Linked DNA regions of Sus scrofa. The protein of the gene in region 1 interacts with the protein of each later gene in a pairwise test. Links are inferred from orthologs where the notes say so. Each region holds a gene or a part of one and is shown on either strand. Other genes may lie near its edges. The genes, in order: nuclear envelope pore membrane protein POM 121C-like, LPXN and TRIP6.

Region 1 (5,831 bases):
CCTTCCTTCCTTTCTAACCTTGGGCTTAGCTTCTTCCTGTTTCTGATTCCTTGAAAGCAATTTCAAAAAATTGAAATGTTCAGGTATTTAATGGAGATTTTTTTCTTTCCTTCTTCTTTCTTACATAAAAAAACAAAGCAAAACAAAACAAAACTTTTTAGGGCCACCCCCTCAGCATATGGAGTCTCCCAGGCTAGGGGTCCAGTCGGAGCTATAGCTGCCAGCCTACACCACAGCAAACGCAATGCCAGATCCGAGCCATATCTGTGAACTATGCCATGGCTCAGGGCACCATGGGATCCTTAACCCACTGAGCGAGGCCAGGGATCGAACCTGCAACCTCATGGTTCCTAGTCGGTTTGGTATCCACTGTTCCATGACGGGAACCCAAGATGTTTTCTTCTTAACATTTGCTTGTATCAATATAAAATTCCTTGTAGGAACTGCTTTTGTAGCATCCTCTATGTTTTGGTATATTGCGTTTCTGTTTTCATTTGTTTAAATGAACAACAGGTAACAACAGGTTATTTTGTTGTAAATCTTTGGATTTCTTATTTGACCCATTGGTAGTTCCGAGTTGTGTTGTTTAGTTTCTGTATGTTTGTAAACTTTCCAGCATTCCTCTTGTTGTTTTTTAGTGTCTTATCCATCATGGGTGAACAAGTTGCTATAGTTTTAAATCTTTTAAAATTTGTGAAAGTTTAACATGATGTGGCTCATGATATGATCTATCCTAAAGAATGTGCTCTGTGCACTTGAGAAGAGTGTTTGTTGTTCTGTTGCGTAGAAATATTTATGTATGCCTGTTAGGACCATTTGGTCTAATTTATAGTTACCATACTCTGCTTTGGCGCTCGAGCTTAATTTTTCCTACATAGGTGCAGTGTGTGTCCTTTGGCCAACATATGCTCATTTCTCCCACCTCTCTGCCCCTGGTGAGCTCTGTTCTAGTCTTTGCTTCTATGTATTCCACTTTTGGATCCTATAAATGAGTGAGATCATTCTATCTTTTTGTGTTTGGTTTATGTGATTTAGCAGGTCTTCCAGGTTCATCTGTTTTGCTGCAAGTGGCCGGATCTCTTGGGCATTTAAGGCTGGATAACACACACACACACACACACACACACACACACACACACACACACACACACACACACACACACACACACACACACACACACACACACACACACACACACACACACACACACACACACACACACACACACACACACACACACACACACACACACACACACACACACACACACGTTATCCATTCATCTGTTGTTGGGCACTTACCTGGTTTTCTTATATTGGTTATGGTGAATGTTCCTGCAGTGAACATGGGAGTGCAGATATCATTTTGAAGTACCGATTTCATGTCCTTCAGTTTGAAATTGCTGTATCCTATGGTATTTTTTTTTTTTTCCTTTAACTTTTTGAGGAATCTCCATGCTGGTTCCCACCATGGCTGTACTAATTTACATTCAAATGAGATGACCTCATTTGGTTTCTTTTTAACCATTCAGATGGAATCATCTGAATGATTACAAGTCATGTAGTCATATGAGGGAACAAGTAATCGGTCCTTTGGAAGTTTTAAAACTGTGGGGCACCAAAGACTATTATTTTGGTCGAATATATTAGACTATTTACCTGTCTATCTATGTAAAGATAGTGTTTTATTTGTGTTCTTTTCTGAATCCTCTAAACATTTTAACATACAGACATGTAGTACGTTTCTCCACTTTCTCATTATTTCAACCGTAGATAAAAATACAAAGATGATGAATCATTCATCATATGGAGATTATGTTTAACATGTCTTAACATGTTACTTAGGTCTATTTCAGATTTGGAAAGTGTTGTAAAATCAAGTACAGTACATCCCACTGAGGTTCCCCTTTTGTCTTCATTGATAGCCTCATCCCCTGCCTGTGTAGCATTATCCTAAAGTTGACATTCTCCAAGCATTTTTATGATATAGGTATATGTGTCTGTATCTTACCTATGTGATTATTTTCACTCAAGTATATCTGGCGCATGCACATTTGTTTTGGGGGTTTTATTTTTGACTGTTTGTTATTATTATTTATTCCGGGGCTACCCTTGCTTGCGTAGTCACGGTGTCTGCAGCAGCTGCGGTGACTGCAGGAGGCAACCTGTGGAGCGGAGGTTGATAGCCAGTGTTAGGGACCTTGGGTCTGTGGGCTGGTGCCGCCAGGGGCAGGGGCAGCGCTGCTGGGCCTGTGGCTGCTGGGCCTCGTGCTGTACTTGGTGCCCGCGGGGGTGGCGGTTACGCTGGCCTGGCTAGCTGTGGGGGCGACCGCGGCCTGGTGGGGCCTGCGCCGCGAGCCCCCCGAGGTTCACGCGCCTTCCGAACCTCGCTGGTTCTGAAGGCGCGCTGCCATGGAACACTGCTCACCTTGCCTCCGGCGTAGTCAGCAGTAAACGGAAGTCTCCTAGAGCCTCCGCGCCTCTTCCAAGGACTTGGACCCGCGCTCATCTGTTCCTCATGGGCAACTACCTAGGCAAGCCCGCCCCCCCGCAGCCTGCCTCCACCTCGGAGGCCAGGGACCTGCGGGAGAGGCCTGGCCGCCGCCCGCCCACCCGCCCCATGCCGCCAGCTCCATCAGGCCATACCCCCGGGGTTCATACTCACCCCTCCCTACCCACTCCTCTTCCCCGACCCTCTAGGAGGACGGCCCTCCGGGGTTGTGGCCCTGTAGCACATCGGTTTGTAATAACACCTCGAAGGAGATACCCAATCCAGCAGGCCCACTATGCCTCGCTGGGGGTCCTTCCCACGGTGTGCTGGAATAGTTGTCACAGGAAGACTGTGCTCTCTGCTCGCAATTCCAAAGTGGTGTGCAGCCCAGTGAGAGTGAGGATTGCTCCTCCGGATAGCAAGCGGATTCGTCCCCCGCTATCAGAGCAGAGTAGCAGCTCAACCGTGTCCTCCCCATCAGCTAGTGCCCCAGACCCATGTGCAAAGGAGACTGTGCTGAGTGCCCTCAGAGCGAGGAAGAAAAGGACGGTGAAGGAGGAAGACCAAATACTGGCTGATGGCCAGGAAGAAAAGAGAAGGCGCCAGGACAGCAGTGGACGTGGACATTCAGCATTTGAGCCGCTGGCGGCCAGTGGAATCCCTGCCTCTTTTGTGCCTAAGCCTGGGTCTCTGAAGAGAGGTCTCAGTCCCCAGAGCTCAGATGCCCACTTAAATAAGAGGTCACGCACCTCTTCTCTGAGCTCCTTGACCAGCACGTACTCAGGCGGCGTGCCCATCTCCAGGCGCAATGCCATCACCAGTTCTTACAGTTCTACTGGAGGTCTCTCTCAGCTGCGGAAGAGGAGTGGTCCTAGGTCATCCCCCTTCTCCAGGCCAGCTTCGTCCTGCTCCCAGGCTCTAGCGAGGCCAGCAAAGGAAATAAGAGAAGAGGAACTTTCTCATCATTCGGCTTCTTCAACTGCATTCACAACAGACAAGGAGTCCCAGGGAGCAGAAGTTGCCGATACCACCACAAGGGAGAAAGAGAACTCGTGGAGTTCTCCACCAACACCTGGCAGCTCAGGGCAGCGTAAGCGGAAGGTGCAGCTGCTGCGGTCCTGGCGAGGGGAGCAGCTGACCTTGCCTCCACCTCCCCAGCTTGGGTATTCAGTCACTGCGGAAGACTTAGACTTGGAAAAGAAAGCTTTGTCACAATGGTTCAGCGAGATCTTGGAGGATAAGACTGATACTGCCTTGAGCGCTGTCCCTGAGAACCCACCTACCGGTCAGCCTCCGGTCTCTTTCAGCCTGCCTACTGCTGGGACTCCTGCCACCAAAACCTCCCTCCCAGCCCCAAGCCCTAGCCCACTGTTGAAGAGCTTGAAGAAGCAGCAGGATTCCCCAGGCCTACCATCGCCCCCCAAGTCTGCTGGCATGGCAAGCCCTGTGGCCCATTCGCCTCCGAAGACACCCAGCCCTCTGGCCCCTCTTGGCTCTTCACAGTCAGGGCCTCTCGCGGGCACCTCCTCGGACTGCAAACCTACAGCCGTTTTCTGTGGCGGCACCCTTACCCCCGCTTCTTCCACAGGACCAGTCACTGACACCAAGTCACCTCCAGCCCCTGAGGCTGAGACGTCTGCCAACTCCCAAGCCTTGTCGGCCCCCCCTCCCCCTCCCAAGCAGAACATTCCTTGTAGAATGCTGGGCACCTCACCTGCTAAGCCTCCTGCCTCTGCAGCTCCTGCTGTGTCTTCACCATCTCCCGTGCTAGATCCCATTTTTTGGCCCCCTCCTAAAAGCAAGAACGAGGGCCCCTTGCCCTCTAGCCCTTCCAAGGTCCCAGCCACCACATCTTCCAGCTCAGCCCTCCCCGCAAGTACCCGCAGCCCATCCCGCACTTTTAAACCTGGCTTTCACACCAGGGAGGCCCCTGCATCCGTGCCCATAGTAACTCCCTTCTTCAAGCAGGCAGCTCCTCCAGCCAGTGCTATGAGCGCCCCTCTCTTCCCTGGCCAGACCCGCGCCACCTCTGCAGTGGCTGCTGCGACCACAGCTGGCACCTCCGTAGACTCTGCTCTGAAGCCCGTGTTCAGCTTCCGTGTGAGCAGCATGACCAGCACCCTGAGCCGCGTGACTAGCACCACCGCTTCCACCTCCCAGCCCGTCCTCTTTGGGACTCCCTCTGCCTCTGGTGGCAGCTTCACAAACCCAGCTGTGGGTTCCAGCTCCATAGTCCAGCTTGGTAAGCCTCCCACCATGCCTCCTTCAAGAGCAGTCACCAGCTTTGGCCAGTCCCTTCCCGGTGCCCCTCAGGCAGTGGCCAGCAGCAGCAGCAGCAGCAGCAGCAGCAGCAGCAGCAGCGCTAGCACTGCTGGCTTTAGTGATTTGGGCAGCAGCCTTCCAGCCTCTGCCCCAGCCACCACCAGCCAGGCCACGCTGACATTCAGTAGCACCCCCCGCCCAGCCATCAGCGTTCCCTTTGGCTCAAGTGCCAAGCCAGGATCCAACGCCCAGCCCAGGTTTGGGGCCACTGATGGGCAGCAGCAGTGGGCTGCCAAGCCATCCCTTGTCCCCAGCTTGTGCAGCTCCTTCACGTTGGGAAACTCTGCAGCCCCCGCCCCGACTGCCACTCCAGCCACAGCCCAGCCAGCCTTTGGCAGCACCACACAGTCCACTCTTGGTGGCCTGAAAGCCACAGCCTCTGCCTCGGGCACCCTTGCCGGCCCCCAGCCAGCCTTTGGCAGCACCACAGCCGTTTTCTCCTTTGGTGCAGCCACCACCTCTGGCTTTGGAGCTACAGCCCAGACCACCGGCAGTGGGGCCAGTCGCTCCAGTAGCACGACACCATCTCCCTTCACATTTGGGGGACGGGCAGCCCCACCGTCTGGCAGCAGAGGCTTTGGGCTCAGTGTGGCTTCGCCAGGCACCAGCTCTGCCTCAGGAGCCTTTGGCTCCGGAGCAGGACAGAGTGGGACCGCTGGCAGCACGACTCCTTTTGTGGGAGGCTTGAGTCAGAAGAGCCTGGGTGCACCCAGCCAGAACACATCCTTTGGCCTCAATGTGGCCTGCAGTGCAGAGAGCCAACCTGTGTTTGGAGGCGCCTCCACGCCCACCTTTGGTCAGAGCACCCCTGGCCCTGGGGTGGGCACATCAGGCAGCAGCCTCTCCTTTGGGGCGTCCTCAACACCCATCCAGGGCTTTGTTAGAAAAGGACCTTCCTTTTCCATTGGTGCGGGACCCAAGCCCCCAGGGGCTTGGCAACAGCTACAGGCCCGGAGGCAGCACACTAGCAAGAAGTAGCCCCTGGCCCTTACCCCCCCTCCCACTCCCCTTTACCCCT
Region 2 (5,606 bases), on another chromosome or scaffold:
GGTTAGGCCGCAAGGAGCCTGCGCAGGTCCGGGCACAACTGTTGATCCCGTTGCTGGTCGGGATTGCCTGGCAGGATTTTCCTTGCTTCTTTAACTTGGTGTTGGCGAATCATTTCTAGGGTGGCCACTTAATAGCCCTTACCTTTGTTTGGTTATATGGCACATCGTCTGAGACTGGCTAGCGTTCATATCTGCAATATCCGTCTTCTCCTGTGTCTGACCCACTAACCTGTGAGTGTCTCAAAGTCAAAGATTGATTGTGGTTCCATTGATTCATAGGGGGCTTAGCACAATCACCACCACTCATTTGATTTTTAATAAAAGTTTGTGGAAAGAATTGTAGAATTGTTTTTTTATTAGATGTCGCCGGGGACAAGGAACTGGCGTCAGTTGCTTAACCTGGCTGTGGTCCCTGGGCTGGAGAGAAGGATGAAGGGTTGTTTGCGTGACTCTGGTGACCCACCCAGAAAATTGAAGGCCTCCTTCACACCCCCCGCCCTGAAGCCGTGTGCTTCTGTGGTTTTTACTTGTTTTGTGTTGCACAGGAAGCGTGGTCAGAATAGCAGCTTTGTCAGAAATTACTTTTCTCTCCACCAACATGTGCAACTAAATTGCCCTAATGCATCAAAACGAAGTTTCCATTTGCTCATCTTCAAGTTGGATTTGGTGAGGGTAGTGAGCCTCTTGCGTTCCTTCCTTTCTGACTTTCATCTATTATAATCAAGAAGCGATCTGCAGGAACGATTCTTAACCATGGAAAATAAAACTCCGGAATTAAAAGTCTCCAAAGTAAATGAATAGAAACAAGATCTTGGGATCCAGTTTTAAGTGTCACATGAATCATTCAGTTAAACTGCAGTTGGAGTCCCACATTTGCAAGCCAAGGGCTGAGAACATTATTCCTTCCAGTGTTTTGGTTCAGTTACCACTTCAGATGGGCCAATGTTCATAGTCTTTGTGGAATGTTTCGCACTTTCATGGGGCTACTGGCATTTCAACTGTAAAAACTGTCATAGTGTAGATGGAAAATTTTCAAACCCCCATTTGCAGTGAGCATACTTTTAGAATGGCACTGACATCCAATGGCTGCTCAGAGTAATGCAGAGGTGGGATCTCCTTTATGTCAAAAAAAAAAAAAAAAAAAAAAAAAGTTTTGAGAGTCACAATGGAATGAAATGGAGAACAAATGATTCCTTTAGAGTAACCTAAATAGAGATCACTCTGTTGTAGAGGAAAGATTACAAACTTGGAAGATAAATCTATCTTATAGCAAGTTACAAAGCTACCTACTAATTCTGTTATCTTTAGCAAGTTACTATTATCTATTTCACCACTGGTAAAAATGAGGGTACTATCTATATCACAGAGCCATAGTTTTAGTTCTTTAAATACTGCCTTCTCATATTAGGCTTTTTTTAAATGTTTTATTCAAGGTGAATAAAATCACAGCAGTAAAAAAAAAGTGAAAGTTAATCTCAGTGTGACTTTTCAGAAAAACTGCTATAAGGCAGTAGGCAGGAATTGTGCTTAATTGAGATGTCTGCAGCTTAGAACCTGGTGTCTCAAATCTCCCAGTTTCATTCTTCACAACCCCTATAGTTTGCATTTTGAACCACTGAAATAAACCTGGCCGAGGGAATTAAAATGTAACCTGGTCCTGATAATCCTGTTCTGCCTTTAATGGGTTGACAGTCTATTTAGGAAAGCAGGTGAGCATAATTTCCAGATAAGTAAAGACAGCAAAATGAGGAGCTCCTGCTGTGGCTCAACAGGATGCATGTTCAATCCCCAGCCTCACACACTGGGTTAAAGATCCAGTGTTGTGGCAGCTATGACTGAGGTCATAACTGCGGCTGGGCTCTGATCCCTGGCCTGGGAACTCTATATCTGCTGAGCGACCAAAAAAAAAAAAAATGAATTGGGTGCTGGTTAACTCTGATGAGAATTTTATGAAGGAGAATTTTATGAAAAGCATGAACCCCAGCTTCACAGAAAAAGAAAAAAAAAAAAAAAGATTCTCTGATACACAGTCACACACTGGGAAAAAACACAAGTGCAAATCTGCTATTCCCATGAATTCAAGATGGATCCTGGCACATAGGAGTTTCTCAAAATTTTCAAAATTAGGTTTGAATCTTTATCACCCGAGCCAATGCACAATGAGAACTCAAACCCAACTACCCACCTTTTCTATGTCATTTTAAAAACTCTGACCTGCAAAAGGACAAGAGAGAAAGAAACCCACCAAATCAAGGGAGAGGAAGTGCTAGGCAAATAGAGGAACCAGAAAGGGTTATAGAGGCTGCTGCGTGCTGCCTCATTCAGTTCCTTTGTGGTCCTGTTCTTCAGCACTTGCCAAAGCAGTTCCTCACAACCTGTGGTACCAGGGCATCTTGGGTGTGAGACAATGGAAGAGTTGGGTGAGTGAGGAGCTTCTTGGAAGAGAAACTCTGGGGGAATGAATGCTTGGCTGCCATCTCCTCGTGTGGTGGGATAAGGAAGGGTAGTGTTGGAGGATTTTATTTTCACTTCTCTCCTGACTTCAGGCCAAGAGTGAAGCATGAGGGACTGTTATTTTGGGGAACTATGGGTTCACTGTTTTCAGAGGCACAGTAGACAGAGAATTTGGTGCTAACCACAGAATAAACTGCACAAATACTTTTGGACTGAATTTTGATTGAAATTGTTATTTTGTTATGAGAATTTTGCTCCTATGAGTTGCTAGAGATCCTAGAGTGGTCACAGAATTGGCAAACCTCAGAGATGTGATTTAGGGAAAAAACAGAAAGAAGGGGGGCAGTTAAAGTGTTATGAGGAGAAGAAATGGGATAGAAGTAGAAGAAGGAGGGATCCCCAAAGATTGGAGAAAGTGGTTTCCTTTGTTCCATGGTGCAGCGTTAAATCAAGAAGATGCAGCCCTCTAACACTAGTGCTTTCATTGCTAAGGTTTTACCGAGAGCAATTCTGAAGGCACAGATTACTGTGGACTGTGAATATATCTCCTTCTATTCCAAAACAATTGAAACCAGAAGAGAAACTATGGGCCCCATTGCTTGGAGAGATCCCTGGTTTCAAATCTTTGGAGTAATGTAAGGTTTGATATTCTTGGGACTCATTCCATATCCTTTGCCAACTTTCGTTGCCATCGTCCCTACTAACACAGTCACTAACATTTATCCACTATCCAAGCTGTGTAATTCCACAGTGTCCAGGGTTTTTGTCTGTTTGGGGTATGTCAAAAGTGCGGACAACAACATCAGCAAAATGTATCTTGCAGGTTGTCTATTAAAAAAACTAACTTGAGATCTGGAGGAGTAGAGGAAGGAACAAAGGCAAATTATAGGAGGGAAGAGATGTTAATGAAAAGGAAAAAAAAAGGAAAAGGGTATTTAATAAATACTGAATTGTTTTGGACGTAAAATCTCTTTTGAAACTTGGAGTAGAATATAAACTTTGCACTTGGGGTAGAATCCAAATTCTTATTCTCTGCTAGGGGTGGGGAAATTCACATTCCTGTCTGAGTTCCACTAGAGTCAAGCTCTCTTTTTTTATTTTTTATTTATTTTTTTTTTTTTTGTCTTTTTGTTATTTCTTGGGCCGCTCCGGGGGATATGGAGGTTCCCAGGCTAGGGGTCCAATCGGAGCTGTGGCCGCCAGCCTACGCCAGAGCCACAGCAACGCAGGATCCGAGCCGCGTCTGCAACCTACACCACAGCTCAAGGCAACGCCGGATCGTTAACCCACTGAGCAAGGGCAGGGACCGAACCCGCAACCACATGGTTCCTAGTCGGATTCGTTAACCACTGCGCCACGACGGGAACTCCATTTTTTTTTTTTTTTTTTTTTTTGTCTTTTTGTTATTTCTTGGGCCGCTCCTGCGGCATAGCTCTCTTTTTTTAACTAGGGATATTTCATGGCTTTCCTGCAGGTAATTGGAAAAGGTAATAATACTTATTCAATGACTTAAGCTAAAACTAGACATTTTTACATATGCTAATTATTTTAGTGTTCCAAGCAACTCTTTGAAATAGGTAGTACCCACTTTTTTTTTTTAATCCAATTGAGAAAACTAAGAAAAACAAAATAATTTGTTCAGTGCCACTCTTTAGAACATCTGATAGCGAAACTGATTAAGCCACAAGCTGTTCTATTTTAGAAGTGTGTTGGCTCAGATGTTCCAGCCAGTAGGCTAACCCAGATAATTTTTTAAAAAATTAAAAAATAGATTTGCGCAGTTTTGCATTTCCTTAGCAGGATGAATGGTAAGAGTAATGTGGTCCAGAAATGTAGAAAGCATCCGGCATCCTGTATATATATCCTAGGAGATATATATATATTTTATATATATATATATAAAATTCATGCATATTATCCAGGTGATTAAACTTCATCAGGCTGTTAATAGCTACACCTCGAAGTCTCCTTTAAATTGTCATCAGCTCAGTAACTACCCCCTCTTGGACCTAGGGTGAACTTTCTTCTCCAATGGGGAGAAATAGAACGGAGGACAGGTCTGGCCAGGCGGGCTGATATTTCCTCTCTGCTGTACTTCCCCCAGGGTTAGTAGTTTGTATCCAGAAGGTCTGACCTAAACCCTCATGATAAGGGGATGCTAGATAAAGGGGAACTTGGAGCAGACTCTGGCTCTGAATGAAGTCATTGCAGTCTAGTGTGACTCCCAAGAGACTTCACTTAATTCCTTCAATGTGAATGTTGATATCATTTGATTTCTGCAGATGAAGAGCTATAGAAAAGGACAGTAGGGTTTTCAGTCTAATAAAATCCCCCACACAACAATAATCCCGTATGTATTTGTCATACTGAAATTAGTCATCTTCAAATTATAGAATCAGGCAAAAGGCCAGATAATCTGGGGGTGTTAGTACACTCAGAAAACAGGAAGAGAAAGGCCTGTTAACTCATGACCCAGAAAGGAGTGTTTTAGTAACTTTGGTTAGCTGATGCTGCCTGGATAATGTTGCACTCTTGGTGGTACATTTTGCTTCTCTTGTAGAGGGTCTTTGGTCTCTCCTCATCTTTACTGTAAATGCCTTTTTATTTTGAATCCAAGAGGATCTGTGACTTTTGGTTGGAGCGAAGCTTACAAAATAGAAAAGAAAGAGGCTATATCTTTTTTTTTTTTTTTTTTTTTTTGTCGTTTTAGGGCCACACCTGCAGCATATGGAAGTTCCCAGGCTAGAGGTCAAGTTGGAGCTGCAACTGCTGGCCTCCACCGCAGCTTACAGCAACACTGGATCCTTAACCCACTGAGCAAGGCCAAGGATCAAACCTGCATCCTCATGGATGCTAGTCAGGTTCCTTAACCACTGAACCATGACTGGAACTCCAAGAGGCTATATCTTAATAGAGGACCACTGAATAAAAATTTGGAACTCAGCAATTTGGTGTTCAGTCTGGCTTGCAAAGTCTTGAGAGAAAAAGGTTACTTTCCCTTCTTACTGTAGTTTTCTTTTTCTTTTAAAAAACGTTTTATTGTGGAGACTTTTAAAATTGACGGAAGGAGAGTTCCCGTCGTGGCTCAGCGGTAATGAACCCATCTAGTATCCATTAGGACTCGGGTTCAATCCCTGGCATCCCTCAGTAGG
Region 3 (5,611 bases), on another chromosome or scaffold:
CAGTGTCTGCCAGCTGTGAGCCTTTGGGCAAGTGACCTCACCGCTCTGGGGCTCAGGTGCCTTATCCATAAAGGGGAGTGAGTAATAGTCCCTACCTCATAGCGTTGTTTCAAGGATCAGATGAGTTAAAACACAAAATGTTTTCTACAGGATGGGGCCCCCGATTAGCATGCAGAGGTTTGCTCTCAGGGGACCGTGCTTTGGACACGTCATCATTAGGGCTTTTCTATCATAGAAACAGATCGTGCAGCCCCAGTGCCGAGCTTCATCCTCCCCTAGCAGGGTCTGAGCGCTGTCTCCCTGGGGATCTAGGCCATGAGCTTGACTAATCAGGGGGTCCCTTCTGTCCGGTGGAGTCAGACTCTCATCTCCCATCACAAAAAAGGTGTGCAGCTTAAAGCCTGGAGTGAAATGCATCCTACTGCCTCATGACGCCTGGAAGTGCTCCTTAGTTAAAAGAATCCTAAGGCGAACTCTGTCAATTTAAGTGGGGGAGATTAGTCATGAAGATAAATGCCTGTGAAAGTGTTTGGGAAAACTCAAAGTCATTACGCAAATGTGCATAATGTTGCCTTAAGAGGCCAAGCACTGTGCAAATGTCATACCTGCTGGCTGACACGTCGCTGCCAGAGGGTGGGAGTGGGTGCCTGTTAGTATGGTGTGAACTCAGCCTGTGACTGATTCCTTGGGGCTCCTTCCTGCCTATCCCTCTCTGCCCCCAGGTGGCATGAAGCCCAACACACTGGTCCTGGGTTTCTACGATGATGCTGCGCCCCAGGACCACTTCCTGACAGATCCAGCTTTCTCTGAGCCTGCTGATGCCACCCAGGAGGGCGGGTCCCCAGCCCTGAGCACCCTGTTCCCTCCACCCCGGGCTCCTGGGAGCCCCCGGGCTCTCAGTCCCCAGGACTATGTGGCCACTGTGGCAGACGCCCTGAAGATGAATAAGAATGTGGTTCTTGCCCGGGCTTGTGGGGCCCTGCCCCCTGAGCGACTGAGCCGGGGTTCCGGGGGTACCTCTCAGCCACATCATGTGGACGTGTGGCCCCTCAACCTGCTGCGGCCCCGGGGTGGACCTGGCTACGTGGACGTCTGCGGCCTCTTCCTGCTGCAGATGGCCACCATCTTGGGCATGGTGCCTGCTTGGCACACTGCCCGCCTCCGGATCTTCTTGTGCCTGGGGCCTCGGGAGGCCCCAGGGGCAGCCGAGGGGCGGCTCCGGGCACTGCTGAGCCAGCTGAGGATCCGGGCAGAGGTGCAGGAGGTTGTGTGGGGTGAGGGGGCTGGGTCCGAGGAGCCTGAGGAGGAGGAGGAGGGGGACTTTGTGAATGGCAGGCGCGGAGACGCAGAGGCAGAGGCCCTGGCACGCAGCGCCAACGCCCTGGTTCGGGCCCAGCAGGGGCGCGGCAGAGGAGGAGGGCCTGGTGGGCCTGAGGGTGGGGATGGCGAGGAAGGGCCCACCACCGCCCTCACGTTCTTGTACCTGCCTCGGCCGCCTGCTGATCCCTCTCGCTACCCTCGCTACCTGGCGCTGCTGGAAATTCTGAGCCATGACCTGGGCCCCACGCTGCTCATTCATGGCATCACCCCTGTCACTTGCACTGATCTCTGATGCCGGTTCCTAGTAGAGAGTGTCCAGGTCGAGTGGCCCACTTTGCTTGGCGGGTTGAGGAGGGGAGGTGCTGCCTCTTGCCCTCCTTGTACTTGGGACTCGGACCCTGGTGGAGGTATTAGGGGAACCTGGTCTTTGGGAGAGGGTCCTCGCTGTGCCCAGGGCAGCTGAGCCGGCGGCCACCACTGGCGAGAAGTCAGCAGCCCTCCCCCACGCTGGCCTCCCTCCCTTCACTGGTGCCTTGACGGGGCTGGGTCTCCGCTTGTGACTCTAGGCTACCTCAGTCTCCCCGCCCCTTGCCCAGTAGACTCCTCACCCTTGAGGTTGTGATGTTTTTGTTCCGTTTTATTTTTCTAACTGCTGAATGTGAATAAAAGACCAAAACACTAGGTGCTGGCCGAGCGTTTCTGGAGGGAGCCGGTAGGGGGGACAGAATGCGGGACGAATCTGTATGCGGGGAGGGGCACTGGAGCATCCCAGCGCAAGGGGGCCACGTGCGGACTTGGGGCACAAGAGCCCCGTGTTAAAGGAGGCTGCCTGAGCCTCCCACCCCCACCCCCCGGGCCCACGCTCTGGAGGAAAGCCGCCCCGGCTCGCAGGAGGGGGCCGACTAGGGGAGGGACGGCAGTTTAGGGCCTAGGGGGCCACGTGACCCTCCCCCAGGAATGCGATGACGTCATCGGGGGCGTGGCCGTCCCCAAAATTGGGGAGGAAGGGGAAAAAAAAAAGCCAGAAAAAGTTTCTGTCCTGGAGTCCCAAGCGAGGTGTCGGGGGGAAGAAGGGGTCAAAGTCAGAGCCCTGGGCTCCGTGGGGCCCTGACCGCTGTCTGGAGTCCCCCATTCCAGACCATGTCCGGGCCCACCTGGCTCCCCCCGAAGCAGCCGGAGCCCGCCAGAGCCCCTCAGGGGAGAGCGCTCCCCCGAGGCGCCTCCGGGCCGCCGCCAGCCCACGGAGCAGGTAAGGCAGCCCCAGTGCGGTGCGGAGGCCACCGGGCCACCAACACTCAACTCTGCCCTGCTGCTCTTGCCTCCCGCTGAGCCTGCCCCTGTCGCCCCTTCCCCAAGCCCGGCTGGAACCCGCCGCGCCCCCGCCCTCGCCCTCTCCCAGCCCTCACTGCCTCCTGCCCCATTCTCGGACCCCAGATGCGGGGGGAGAGGGGTGAAGAGGGACCCAAGACCGGTGGCCTCCACAAGTGTCACCCTCCTCTCCTTCCCCATCCCCACCTTGGCTCTCTCTTCCCTCACCCCAGCACTCCAGTCCCACCCCAGGGTCAATTTTTGCCCCCTCCCATCTGAGCAGTGTTACCAGGCCCCTGGGGGACCGGAGGATCCGGGCCTGGCCTGGGTGGGGTGCCATGGAGCACCCCAACGCTCACAGGTGAGCACCGCGATTAGGGGGTGTGGGGGGGACTTAGGGCAGGAGAAGAGGCCATATGAGTTGCATTCTCCCTGCTTTTGCTCTATCTCCAGGGGCTCCCCCCGGACAGGGGGGCCTTGCGCCCAGGAAGTCTGGATGCTGAGATAGATTCCCTGACCAGCATGTTGGCTGAGTTGGACGGGGGTCGGGGTCACGCCCCACGGCGGCCTGACCGGCAGGTGACTCCCCGCTCCTGTCCCTCCCTGTCCTTGTCCCCCACCCCTCCCCCGCAACCTGGTTCCTGCTCTGTATTCTCACTCCTCTTCTCCCTCCACATGGGGGATGCACCCACCAGCGAGGAGGAAGCTGGGCCACCAAAACGTACTAGGTTGCCAGCCACTCAAGGACGGGCCCTTGTCAAAACCAGTGCTTACCTGGGTGCCACAGACACAGGGTTCAGGGGTTCCACAGATGTGTGTTCTGGATTGGGCCCAGCTCATGCCTTCTGGTCTGTGCTTCTCTCCAGGCTTATGAGCCCCATCAGCTCCCTGCCTACCGCTCAGGCCCTGGCTCCCTGAAGCCGAATGGAGGGAGTGTTCCTCCCACACCACTCCCAGCGGCCTCCTATGGCGGCCCCACGCCGGCCTCCTATGCTACGGCCAGCACCCCCGCCGGCCCTGCCTTCCCTGTGCAAGTGAAGGTGGCACAACCAGTGAGAGGCTGTGGCCCCCCCAGGCGGGGGGCCCCTCAGGCCTCGGGGCCCCTCCCCGGCCCCCACTTTCCTCTCCCAGGCCGAGGTGAAGTCTGGGGGGCTGGCTACAGGAGCCACCGTGAGCCAGGGCCAGGGGGTAAAGAGGAGGCTGCCGGAGTCTCCGGCCCTCCGGGAGGAAGAGGAGGCGGGTACGGGCCCCAGGTAAGCCCTGGGCCCTGGGATTTGGGGTCCTCAAAGACAGTTGGATGCTGACTGGGTGGGGTGGGGGTGGGGGTTGATGTTCCAGTTTTCAAGCTCTGGATTCCCTGGGGGCGGGGGGCAGGTCAGGAAATAAAGGAGGGAGGGGACTAGATCTGCACACTGGCTCCCAGAGGCACACCCCTGGCCCCTGGGCTGGGGTGTTCTCCTGTGAGCTTTTGGGTGGAATTGCCTGATCACTCTCGGTGACAGTATTGGGAGGGAGAGGTAGGATTGAACCCCTGATTCTCACCTCCCAGGTCCCCCTGAGCCAGCCTCCCGAGGAGGAACTTGAGAGGCTGACCAAGAAGCTGGTGCAGGACATGAACCACCCGCCCAGTGGGGAGTACTTCGGTGAGCTGCCCCCCGCCACACACCCCGGGCAGGGGGTGGGGGGAGGTCAGGTAGACAGTGGGTCTGGCTTCCCAGTCTATGGTTGACCCTGACCCATCCCGTCCCCAGGCCGGTGTGGTGGCTGCGGAGAAGATGTGGTTGGGGATGGGGCCGGGGTTGTGGCCCTGGACCGTGTCTTTCACGTTGGCTGCTTTGTCTGTTCTACGTGCCGGGCCCATCTCCGGGGCCAGCATTTCTATGCCGTGGAGAGGAGAGCGTATTGTGAGAGCTGCTATGTGGTGAGTGGTGGGGGCTGGCGGGGGGTGGTGGCAGATGGAGTCAGCAGCAGGAAGCAGGGGGCTTCCATCCAGAGTGGGAACTAGGTGTCCAAGCCCCAAAGAATAAGGCTCGAAGCAGGAGAACTAAAACTAATAAAGAAAAAGGCATGGATGAAATAAGTAGCTGTATACTGGTTGCTGGAGAGAAAGGACAACATTCCCCTGTAAGAGTGAGGCATTTATTTTCGGTTTAGGGGAATGTGCTGAATCCCCACAATGCCCTGGTGAGGCAGCTGTTACTCCTGAAGGAAACTGAAGGTCTGAGAGCTTAAATATCTTGTCTGGGGAAGCTGCAGTGCTAGGATTTGCACGCATACCTGTTCAAGGCCACCTTTAACTGAATCACATGCAGGGGGCTACATAAATAGGTGGGGGAGCTGGCAGGATGCCTGTAAGGGCTGCCATGGGTCACCCCAGCCCTGACCTTCCTGCTCTCCTTCCTGACAGGCCACCCTGGAGAAGTGCTCCACCTGTTCCCAGCCCATCCTGGACCGGATTCTGCGGGCCATGGGGAAGGCCTATCACCCTGGCTGCTTCACTTGTGTGGTGTGCCACCGCGGCCTCGATGGCATCCCCTTCACTGTGGATGCCACCAGCCAGATCCACTGCATTGAGGACTTCCACAGGTCAGCTAGGTCATCAACCTTTGTCTCAGGATGTCTGGCCTGGCCTTTCCCATCTTCCTTATCTCTCCTTCATATCCCAGTACCAACCTCTCATGTTTTGCGCCCCTGGCCATGCCTCATTCTTGGTAACACAACTCTCTTCCATAAGATCCAAGACCCTACCTCTGGCCTATCCTGTTCCCTCCCACCCTGGGCTTCGTTGTTGGTCCCCTCCAATCCTGGGGCTTGACAGCCTCCTTGGTTCCCTTCCACTCTAGGAAGTTTGCCCCACGATGCTCAGTGTGTGGTGGGGCCATCATGCCTGAGCCCGGTCAGGAGGAGACTGTGCGAATTGTAGCTCTGGACCGCAGTTTTCACGTTGGGTGTTACAAGTGCGAGGTCAGGGGGCCTGGGGCGC

The links.
Region 2: the proteins of nuclear envelope pore membrane protein POM 121C-like (region 1) and LPXN interact in binary tests that used the Homo sapiens proteins (3 or more experiments, as listed by UniProt). The two-hybrid records come from large-scale screens. The link is inferred for Sus scrofa from reciprocal best matches to the Homo sapiens genes POM121 and LPXN.
Region 3: the proteins of nuclear envelope pore membrane protein POM 121C-like (region 1) and TRIP6 interact in binary tests that used the Homo sapiens proteins (3 or more experiments, as listed by UniProt). The two-hybrid records come from large-scale screens. The link is inferred for Sus scrofa from reciprocal best matches to the Homo sapiens genes POM121 and TRIP6.

The regions. Positions count from the first base shown.
Region 1 is NW_018085157.1:59,506-65,336, forward strand, and holds the start of nuclear envelope pore membrane protein POM 121C-like, read left to right. Parts: upstream 1-2,424; 5' UTR 2,425-2,518; coding exon 2,519-5,791; 3' UTR 5,792-5,831. UniProt on the Homo sapiens protein: Essential component of the nuclear pore complex (NPC). The repeat-containing domain may be involved in anchoring components of the pore complex to the pore membrane. When overexpressed in cells induces the formation of cytoplasmic annulate lamellae (AL).
Region 2 is NC_010444.4:12,532,516-12,538,121, forward strand, and holds the start of LPXN (leupaxin), read left to right. Parts: upstream 1-2,264; 5' UTR 2,265-2,407; coding exon 2,408-2,420; intron 2,421-5,606. UniProt on the Homo sapiens protein: Transcriptional coactivator for androgen receptor (AR) and serum response factor (SRF). Contributes to the regulation of cell adhesion, spreading and cell migration and acts as a negative regulator in integrin-mediated cell adhesion events.
Region 3 is NC_010445.4:8,710,920-8,716,530, forward strand, and holds the start of TRIP6 (thyroid receptor-interacting protein 6), read left to right. Parts: upstream 1-2,301; 5' UTR 2,302-2,460; coding exon 2,461-2,569; intron 2,570-2,861; coding exon 2,862-2,989; intron 2,990-3,081; coding exon 3,082-3,207; intron 3,208-3,494; coding exon 3,495-3,881; intron 3,882-4,177; coding exon 4,178-4,271; intron 4,272-4,379; coding exon 4,380-4,549; intron 4,550-5,035; coding exon 5,036-5,214; intron 5,215-5,471; coding exon 5,472-5,592; intron 5,593-5,611. Other genes in the region: SLC12A9 (solute carrier family 12 member 9), read left to right, coding at 723-1,612. UniProt on the Homo sapiens protein: Relays signals from the cell surface to the nucleus to weaken adherens junction and promote actin cytoskeleton reorganization and cell invasiveness. Involved in lysophosphatidic acid-induced cell adhesion and migration.